Linked DNA regions of Caenorhabditis elegans. The protein of the gene in region 1 purifies or fractionates together with the protein of each later gene. This does not show direct contact. Each region holds a gene or a part of one and is shown on either strand. Other genes may lie near its edges.

The links. The genes of interacting proteins can lie anywhere in the genome.
Region 2: the proteins of aptf-1 (region 1) and F29B9.11 fractionate together in Caenorhabditis elegans (co-fractionation; one large-scale study listed by BioGRID). This does not show direct contact.

The regions. Positions count from the first base shown.
Region 1 is NC_003280.10:6,453,154-6,457,683, forward strand, and holds aptf-1 (Transcription factor aptf-1), read left to right. Parts: upstream 1-1,817; 5' UTR 1,818-1,820; coding exon 1,821-1,934; intron 1,935-1,982; coding exon 1,983-2,244; intron 2,245-2,289; coding exon 2,290-2,506; intron 2,507-2,554; coding exon 2,555-2,673; intron 2,674-2,848; coding exon 2,849-3,117; intron 3,118-3,170; coding exon 3,171-3,287; 3' UTR 3,288-3,393; downstream 3,394-4,530. Other genes in the region: atg-16.2 (Autophagic-related protein 16.2), read right to left, coding at 1-235; dgk-5 (Diacylglycerol kinase), read right to left, coding at 3,704-3,806, 3,856-4,027, 4,208-4,339. UniProt on the Caenorhabditis elegans protein: Transcription factor, which is required in the single sleep-active ring interneuron RIS for sleep-like behavioral quiescence induced by neuropeptide signaling in larvae. Regulates gene expression of sleep-inducing FMRFamide-like neuropeptide flp-11 in RIS.
Region 2 is NC_003282.8:4,658,719-4,661,866, forward strand, and holds F29B9.11 (Cytochrome c oxidase polypeptide VIIc), read right to left. Parts: upstream 1,484-3,148; 5' UTR 1,483-1,483; coding exon 1,369-1,482; intron 1,131-1,368; coding exon 978-1,130; 3' UTR 913-977; downstream 1-912. Other genes in the region: mrps-21 (Mitochondrial Ribosomal Protein, Small), read right to left, coding at 405-594, 648-799; jmjd-1.2 (JmjC domain-containing protein), read left to right, coding at 2,291-2,473, 2,521-2,592, 2,639-2,923, 3,088-3,148.

The DNA of each region.
Region 1 (4,530 bases):
TTTTCATTCTGTATACATTTGCCATTTCTTCTTTCATAACAGCTAATCGATCGTTTACATTTCCTTTAAAGTGCTCATCGTTTACAGAAACAGATCTCGATCGGTGTGATTGTTGCAATTGTTCATCCAATAACGAATAATTTTTGAACATGTCTTTCACACATCTTTGCTGGCGTTCTCGTTTGCACAATCGATTCAGTATTTCCAAGCGAAAGGAAGTCCGATTGTCGGTCATCCTCTGAAAGACAACTATTACTCGAGAGAAAAAAAAGTTTCATAAAAATCTTATCGTTTCATACGACTTAATGAATATATGAACATAAAAGCAAATGCAGGTTTAAATCGATATGAATAAAAAACCTATTGCACATGTCTTGCAAGAAACATATGCACCATGTGTGCCCTTGACGCATTTTGCGATGCAATGCGTACGAGAAACGCGCCAACCCTAGACCACTTTGAGAGGGAGGGGAAGGATAGAGTAATCCCGCGAAATTAATCTTGTTTTAAAGATTTGAATAATTAACTGGAGAACATAGAAGATATTAGAAATGGCATATTGAAATTGCTGTCAACAAATTAAACTGGGTATATTCAGATGGTACTTATGGTATTGTCACACTTGAAATAGAATGTAAACATAGGTTTACAGGTTTATTAACAAAGTTGAAGCTTAAACCTGTGGGATTTGCAGGACTTGAAGGTACCAAGAAGTCTGGAGTCAGTGTCCTATGTTTCAAGTAGATAACTAGCATCAACTAGTATGGTATGTTCTAGTTCATCAACTTATTGGTTTTTTATTGGGTTTTCAAAAAAAGCAAACACAAACATTGACAGGAGCCCGGAAAACGCAATTTCGAAATGAATTCTAGGTTAACAACCATTTGTAGCATAAATTTCATTTTGATACTACCAACGGTTTTGAAATTAAGAGACAATAGATTTTTTGGTTTTGAAAAACAGCAGCCTTGAGTATGCGAAGTTGTACTGTGAATTGTTCACAGAATGAATATACTTCATGTTTAAATTGCGCTTTAAATCTTACAATTATAGTATCCGTAATAAAAAGTTAAGTAGCGAGCAGAAACTCTGGCATAGACTTCAACTCCTCCAGTTTTTTTTTTAATTTTTCTCCAATTTCCTGCCTATTTTGGCATATATTGAACAGTGTTGCCTACAGTAAAATAATCTATGTTTTCAGGAATACTGCGACTCATTCTGCCCAAATATTTACTTTTATATTCTGAACAAAAATAGGTTTCTTCTTTCTTCTGTCCATATTTTCCAATAAGCTTTCCTCTGTTTAGAGTTACAGTAATCCTAAGTGGCAAGTGATGGAGTAAATCCGATGCTCTCTCATGCTCATCATAAGCTCTCACATTTAATAAAATTCATTTTCCCGCCCTATGTCCACCTCCTCCTTCATTTGATTTTCTACCCATCATTCATTCTGCTCACTACTTTTAAGTTAGAAGAATATTCTACTTTTTAATTTTGATTTTTTGTTTATTGTTCAGCTATGAAAGTTTGATGAGAAACTATCAGATAATCAAGTTTCACTTCATCAAATAAATTTCATTCTAGGGTTATATTTTATGTGCTTTTGTGTCTTAATTTCATCTGTTGGGTCACATTTTTTGAAAAATGTAAACGGAAACACCGAAACAAAAATAAATAGTCAAGATACAGTCAAAAGATTCAAACATTCTTGATCAGAAATTTTACAATTTTCTTAATTTTTCTGGTTTGAAAATGTGTTAACACTCTTGTTACTTTGGCATCCTTCACTTTTAGACCCAAAAAAATGCAGATACTGCAGAATGTTCAACCGTAAACTCATGGAATGTTCTGATGACGAATTCGTTCGTGGATCTCAATGTGACGAAGAAGATGAAGAAGAGCAACAACGACAATCTTCCCAAAGACCACCATTTGTAGGCTCCGCCCTTTTTATTCCTCTTCAGTATATTTTATTTTTGCAGTACGAGAATATGCGCACATTTGCTCCTTCCCATATGCATATCTCGTGTCATTATGATATACCGTATCCTCCACATCTTATTCAACCTCCAGTTTGTGGAGTCAGCACTTTTACATATGCAAGAGAGTTTCCAGTGAGCAATTCACAACAGTTCTTCAATGTTACTCCCCCACAACAACAGCAACAACAAGGGACTGGAGGAAGTGGAGAGGAAGATTACTGTATTCCTAAATCAGAAGATAGAGATCACTCATCTAATTACAGTATAAAATCCTATAAAATCTTAAGTACTGTATGTTAATATTAAGGTCAAGTTGCCACAAAACAGGATCGTCCATTCGTTTTCTTTGCTTCTGACTGTCAATCTCCCCTTGAAATTGTTGGTGAAGTCTACTGCACTGTTCCAGGACGCACAAGTCTCTTAAGCTCTACAACTAAATATCGGGTTACTGTAGCAGAAATACAAAGACGCATCAGCCCGCCAGAATGCTTAAATGCGTCTCTTCTTGGTGGTATTTTGAGAAAGTAAGAAAGAAGAATAATAAATAATAGTAATAAGTTGTGAGGTTGCAGGGCTAAGTCAAAGGACGGTGGGAAAACATTGAGGGATTCTCTCAAGAAACTTGGTTTGACTCTTCCTGCTGGTAGAAGGAAGCAAGCAAATGTTACAGCTTGGACGGCTTTAGTTGAAGGTTTGTTAAGAGTTTTGGGGAATGGGGTAGGGTTGGTGACGATATAAATTCTTAGGTCCTTAAAATTACAATTCCAACTAATACTTACCAAAATGTCTCTTTAAGAATCCTGAATTTAAGTTCTATTAACGCTCCATAACGCTCGTACTTGTCATGTAAATTTGTTGAATTCCAGAAGAAGCAATTCACATGGCAAAAGAGTTTGCTCTCGTATGTGAAAAGGAATTTCATTCCCGAGAAATTGGAATCTACTTGACAAAAACCTCTCTAGCAATCGATCCGGACGTTGTAAAGCGGAGAACTGCACTGGAAATGAGCAGGAAAGTTGTTGGAGAGCTCGCTGAACTTCTCTCCTGTGACCGTACACCTCTTACTCCATATTTTCCTAGAAATATGCTTCCGATTGATCCTTCTGTACAACAGCATTTATCACATTTTACGCTGGTACTGTTAAAATTCAAAATTAGCGAATCCATAAAACATTTTTTAATTTCCAGATGACTCATGGTTTCGGAAACGTGGCAATGAGTGCAGTACTGGAATCAGTTAAGTTAATGATTGATGAAAGTATCAAGTATATTGATCGATGTTGTTCTCAAAATGTCTGGAGATAATTACGCTTTGTCTTCTTGTTGAATACTTTTTTGATTGTCTCAAGCATGTATGTAAACCACAAAATTAATATAAATTCGCAATCAATAAAATAAATTTATCACAAAAATCATTCGGTTGTAATATACAATGTACGACGCTTTTCCAATGACTCTGGAAAGTTAAAAAATTCAAGAATTTTTAAATAAAGATTTCAGAAAAAAAAAACCAGAAAAAATCCACTACGAGATCTCGATGTAAAATAATTTTGATTATAAATCATTTCACCTAAAAAATGAGCCAATTGCTGAAATTTTTAACAATCTTCGGCAATTGATTTGAACAAAAAGTTAAAAATTTAAAAAAACTTGGGAAATATCAAAATACAATCAGATTTAGCACATGAAAAAATGGCAAAATAAAAGTGTTTCTTGTAATCCTACAAATGAGTTTCTTGAGCGTCAGAGCTCAAAACAATTCGAAGAGTCTCAGATATTCGGCGGGAGTTATGGTAACGGGGAGCGGCACTTGTTGAAGTAGATCTGAAATTCAAGATTTTTCAAATTAAAAAATAATTCTTAAAAAGCTCACGGAATAGGTTGTTGTGGTTGAAATAACTCGACCGCTTCCCGATCAGTTATTGAAGGAAAAGCATGATCAAGAATCAAAAGACATTCATCTGTATTACACACATCACTAACACTTTGTACATGTTCTTGTTGACGAGAAACTCGAAATGTTCCTTCTTCTGCATTTGAAACATCTGAAAAAATAAAAACCCTTCAAGTGAAAAAAATGTCACAGTACAATTTTGAAAGACAAAACCTTTGGAATGTTTTGCAATTTTCCAAAAAAATTATTAAAAATTCCAAATTATCTAAAGTGTCTAGGGTACATTTTTGGTCAATTTTTATGTTGAAAATTTTTTTGAATAAAAACTTACAATCCAAAAATCTCCAATTCTTGTCAGGCTCATAGGGAAGGGAGTTGTGCTCAACGAGAAGTCTCTGAATGAGAACTCTTGCCGAATCAAGTTCGGCTTCTGATTCAACATTCACGATTCCAATTTCGTAAGCTGAAAATATTAATTTCAATTTTCGATATTATCTCATCATAATGGCTGAGTGGAGCATACTTTTATTACTAAAAATTTAATTGGAGAATAAAACACATTTTCCAGGCTGCACAGTTCACACAAAAATTTCTTGCAGCTGATAACGGTGGCCATCAAATTTTGAAACTATATTCGTTATTCGTATATCCAAT
Region 2 (3,148 bases), on another chromosome or scaffold:
GGTTTTTCCATGTTTGGCTTCCCTTGCAATCCATACCTTAATCCTTAAACCTCATTTCTCTCGAACGGAGCTAGGAACAAGGGAAAACCTTTTCTCGGGGGAGCGCAGCGACCCGAGAATGGGATGTTTTCCCGTGACAGCGGAGTGAGAGAGACAGTAGCAAACTAAAGGCGCAGGCATTTTCCTCCGGCACGGGTCTCGCCGCGACAAGCGCCCCGCGGGCGCTGCGGCGCCTGTTTCTCCTCATTCTACGTGTGCAATCCTTAAAATCCATACCGACGATCCTCAACTTTTTACATTAAAACCAATATCCTTGTTTCTAAATTCTCAATTAATTTACACTTTTATTGCTGTAAAACAAAACAAAACAAAAAACTCAAAACAACTATTTTCTGAGATCGAAATTAGGACGTCACTTGTCCGGGATGCTTGTCGGGACGATTTTTTCGAACGAGAAATTTCATTTTCCGGTTCATGTCCTCGTTGAAAATCGCCGTTGATGCTTCCATCGACAGTGTTTTTCGTTGCATGTAGGGCTTCTGATAGAATTGAGTGCGGCGAATGATTTTCAGCATTCCTTCTGAATCCATCAATCTGAAATTATTTCAATCTTGAAATTATGTTCTGGGAATTTTTCCAAAGAAAACCTGTTAAGAAGTCCGAAAGCTCCATCGACATCATTGTTCTGCACCATTACTGTTCGAGTTGCGAATCTTGGATGTGAATTCCAAATTCCTTTGAAAAGTTTAATCGCGAACGGCTGAGAAATCGTTCCTCTCCAGGTGAATTGACGTACCATCTTTAAAACAATTATCAAAAAAATTCTAAATGAAAAACCGAATCGAACATTTATCTTTCATGGATGGATAAACCACATTTGACAGCGAATAAAATTGAGAAAAAGCGAAGAGAAAACAAGAATCGATTTATTGTTGTTCTCAAAAGTCTACACAATGGCTCGTGGCATAATATTACTTCTACTGTCTGCGGGCGGCAACACGGGCGTCAATCTCTTCTTGGACTTCTGGGGAGAGAGCATTATCCGGTCTTGGGCGAAGACTATCAAGTCTGAAGAGGACGGAAGTTGGGTATGCCATGAAAGCGACGCAGATGAGTCCGTAAAGGGCAACCTGAAAAAATTGGTGTTATAGTGAATAATATGGATATCTGGATAAATATGTTTTTGAGCAGCTAAATTAAAAGTGAGACAAATTTCAAAACTGTATCTTTTAGTTCAGAAATTAATTTTTCAAATCCATTCAAACGAATGTACAAACTGAAATTTAGTTTTTTTTGGTGAGCTAGTGGTATTTTAAGTTTTACTGCTCACAAGGATAAGTTCAAGACATTTAGCAAATAAAAAATTACCTTCTCGCTGACAGAGGTGAAACGGAGTGGTGGGGTCGAGTCAACTCCCTTGTGAAGCGAGCGACGGATGACATGTTGGCTTCTAGCCAAGGAGAGCACAGCACGGTTCAGCATCCTGCAATAAATCGTTTAAATTTACAGAGTAATTGAGCAAGCATGATAATCCATAGAAAACGAAACAGAGAATACGATTCAGGCGGTTATAAAAACAGAAACTATACGAAAATCGTTAATTCTACACAATGAATCAAAAAATTATTTGATTTTGCTAATGGATGAAGCTTGAAAGCTGAAAAATAGTAAAAATCTGCTTAAAAAATAATCGGCAGGCTGTGAGAGGTTAAAGGCGCAGAGACGGCTGACGGAAAACAAAAACAATCGTTGCGAGACCAGCCGCTTGGCTACGTGCCAAGTGTGAGAATACGGAAGGTGAGAAAGACGGAGACACTGCGAAGCGAGTGAACGGTGAATGCGAGACACCAAAACCCGGAAGTGGACAGGCAGAAATTGATTTTCTCGTTAAAAATTTTTTGTATTCAGAATTGCAATCAATTCAACTAATCAATATTGATATTTTCATCTTAAAGTTTATCTACTAATTAGTATTTAATCCCACAAACTCGTAAATTTCATCGCGACTCACGTTCCCCCGTTTCGCAGTGTCTCTTGTTTCGCATGCTGCGTCTCGTTTCTCTTCTTCTTCACATCTCCTCGAGGCTTACAGTTTTTTCAGCATATATTTCAGTTTTCCATCATTTTTCTGGAGTTTTTTATTGAAAAATGTTGTAACAGAAATAAATTTAAACATTTCGAAGCTATTTTCATGTTATTTTGTCCGTTGTTTCCCTTTCAATCGACTATTCGTTGAAGTTTTCGAGTTTTCCGTTAAAAATCGTTGTTTTCCAGAATCTACACATTCCAAATGGATGGTAATGATATAAATATACAAAAAAACGAGTTTTCTCGAGACCAATCAGCACTTCTAATGATGGATCAGCATTCCGACCATAAGAATCACGAATCGGCAATCGGCGAGCCAGGAATGTCATACACAGCCTCTCAACCGGCTCTTTCCTCTACTGAGCATCAAACGCCATTAGTTTCTGTACGATTTTTTATTTTTCTGCGATTATTCAATGATATTGATTACAGGAAGCAAGCGTCGCAGCTCCTCAAAATCATTTGAATGGCAATTCCCATGAATCGGTTTCCGAAATGGATAGAGTAAGTGTTTTATTCATTTAAAATTTTAAAAAAAGTCTCATCTCAGAATTCGGTTGATTTTGCGATAGAATCAGTGCTCATGAAAGTGAGTGTAACCTCCGATTTCACTGAACTTCCTCCATTTCTCAACGTAATTTTCCAGGCGAGAGCTTACAACAAGATGGGCGCTCCAAAAGATCCGAGGAGAAAGCAGCACAATCCGAAGAGCGAGCCTAAAATCGAGCCACATGTGACAGATTCATCGGATAATCAGGCTGCAATGAGCAACAAGATGGAAGCGGAAGCGCCGAAGATGGAGTCAAATCAGAACTACGTCAGCAACGGATCTGAGGTATGGTTTATTCTGAAATGTGGAAGATTATTTTCATTCAAAAAAAATTTATTTATAAATTTATAAATTTTTGAAAAAATTCAAATTTCCCGTGGCAATATCATACTGAACTTTTAAATGAAGAAAAAAAATTAATTGATAAATATCATCAAATTTTATTCCAGCCTCCATTCCGTTTCGTTTCAATTTCGAATTTCGACGAAATGAAAACAAAAAAGAAAGAAG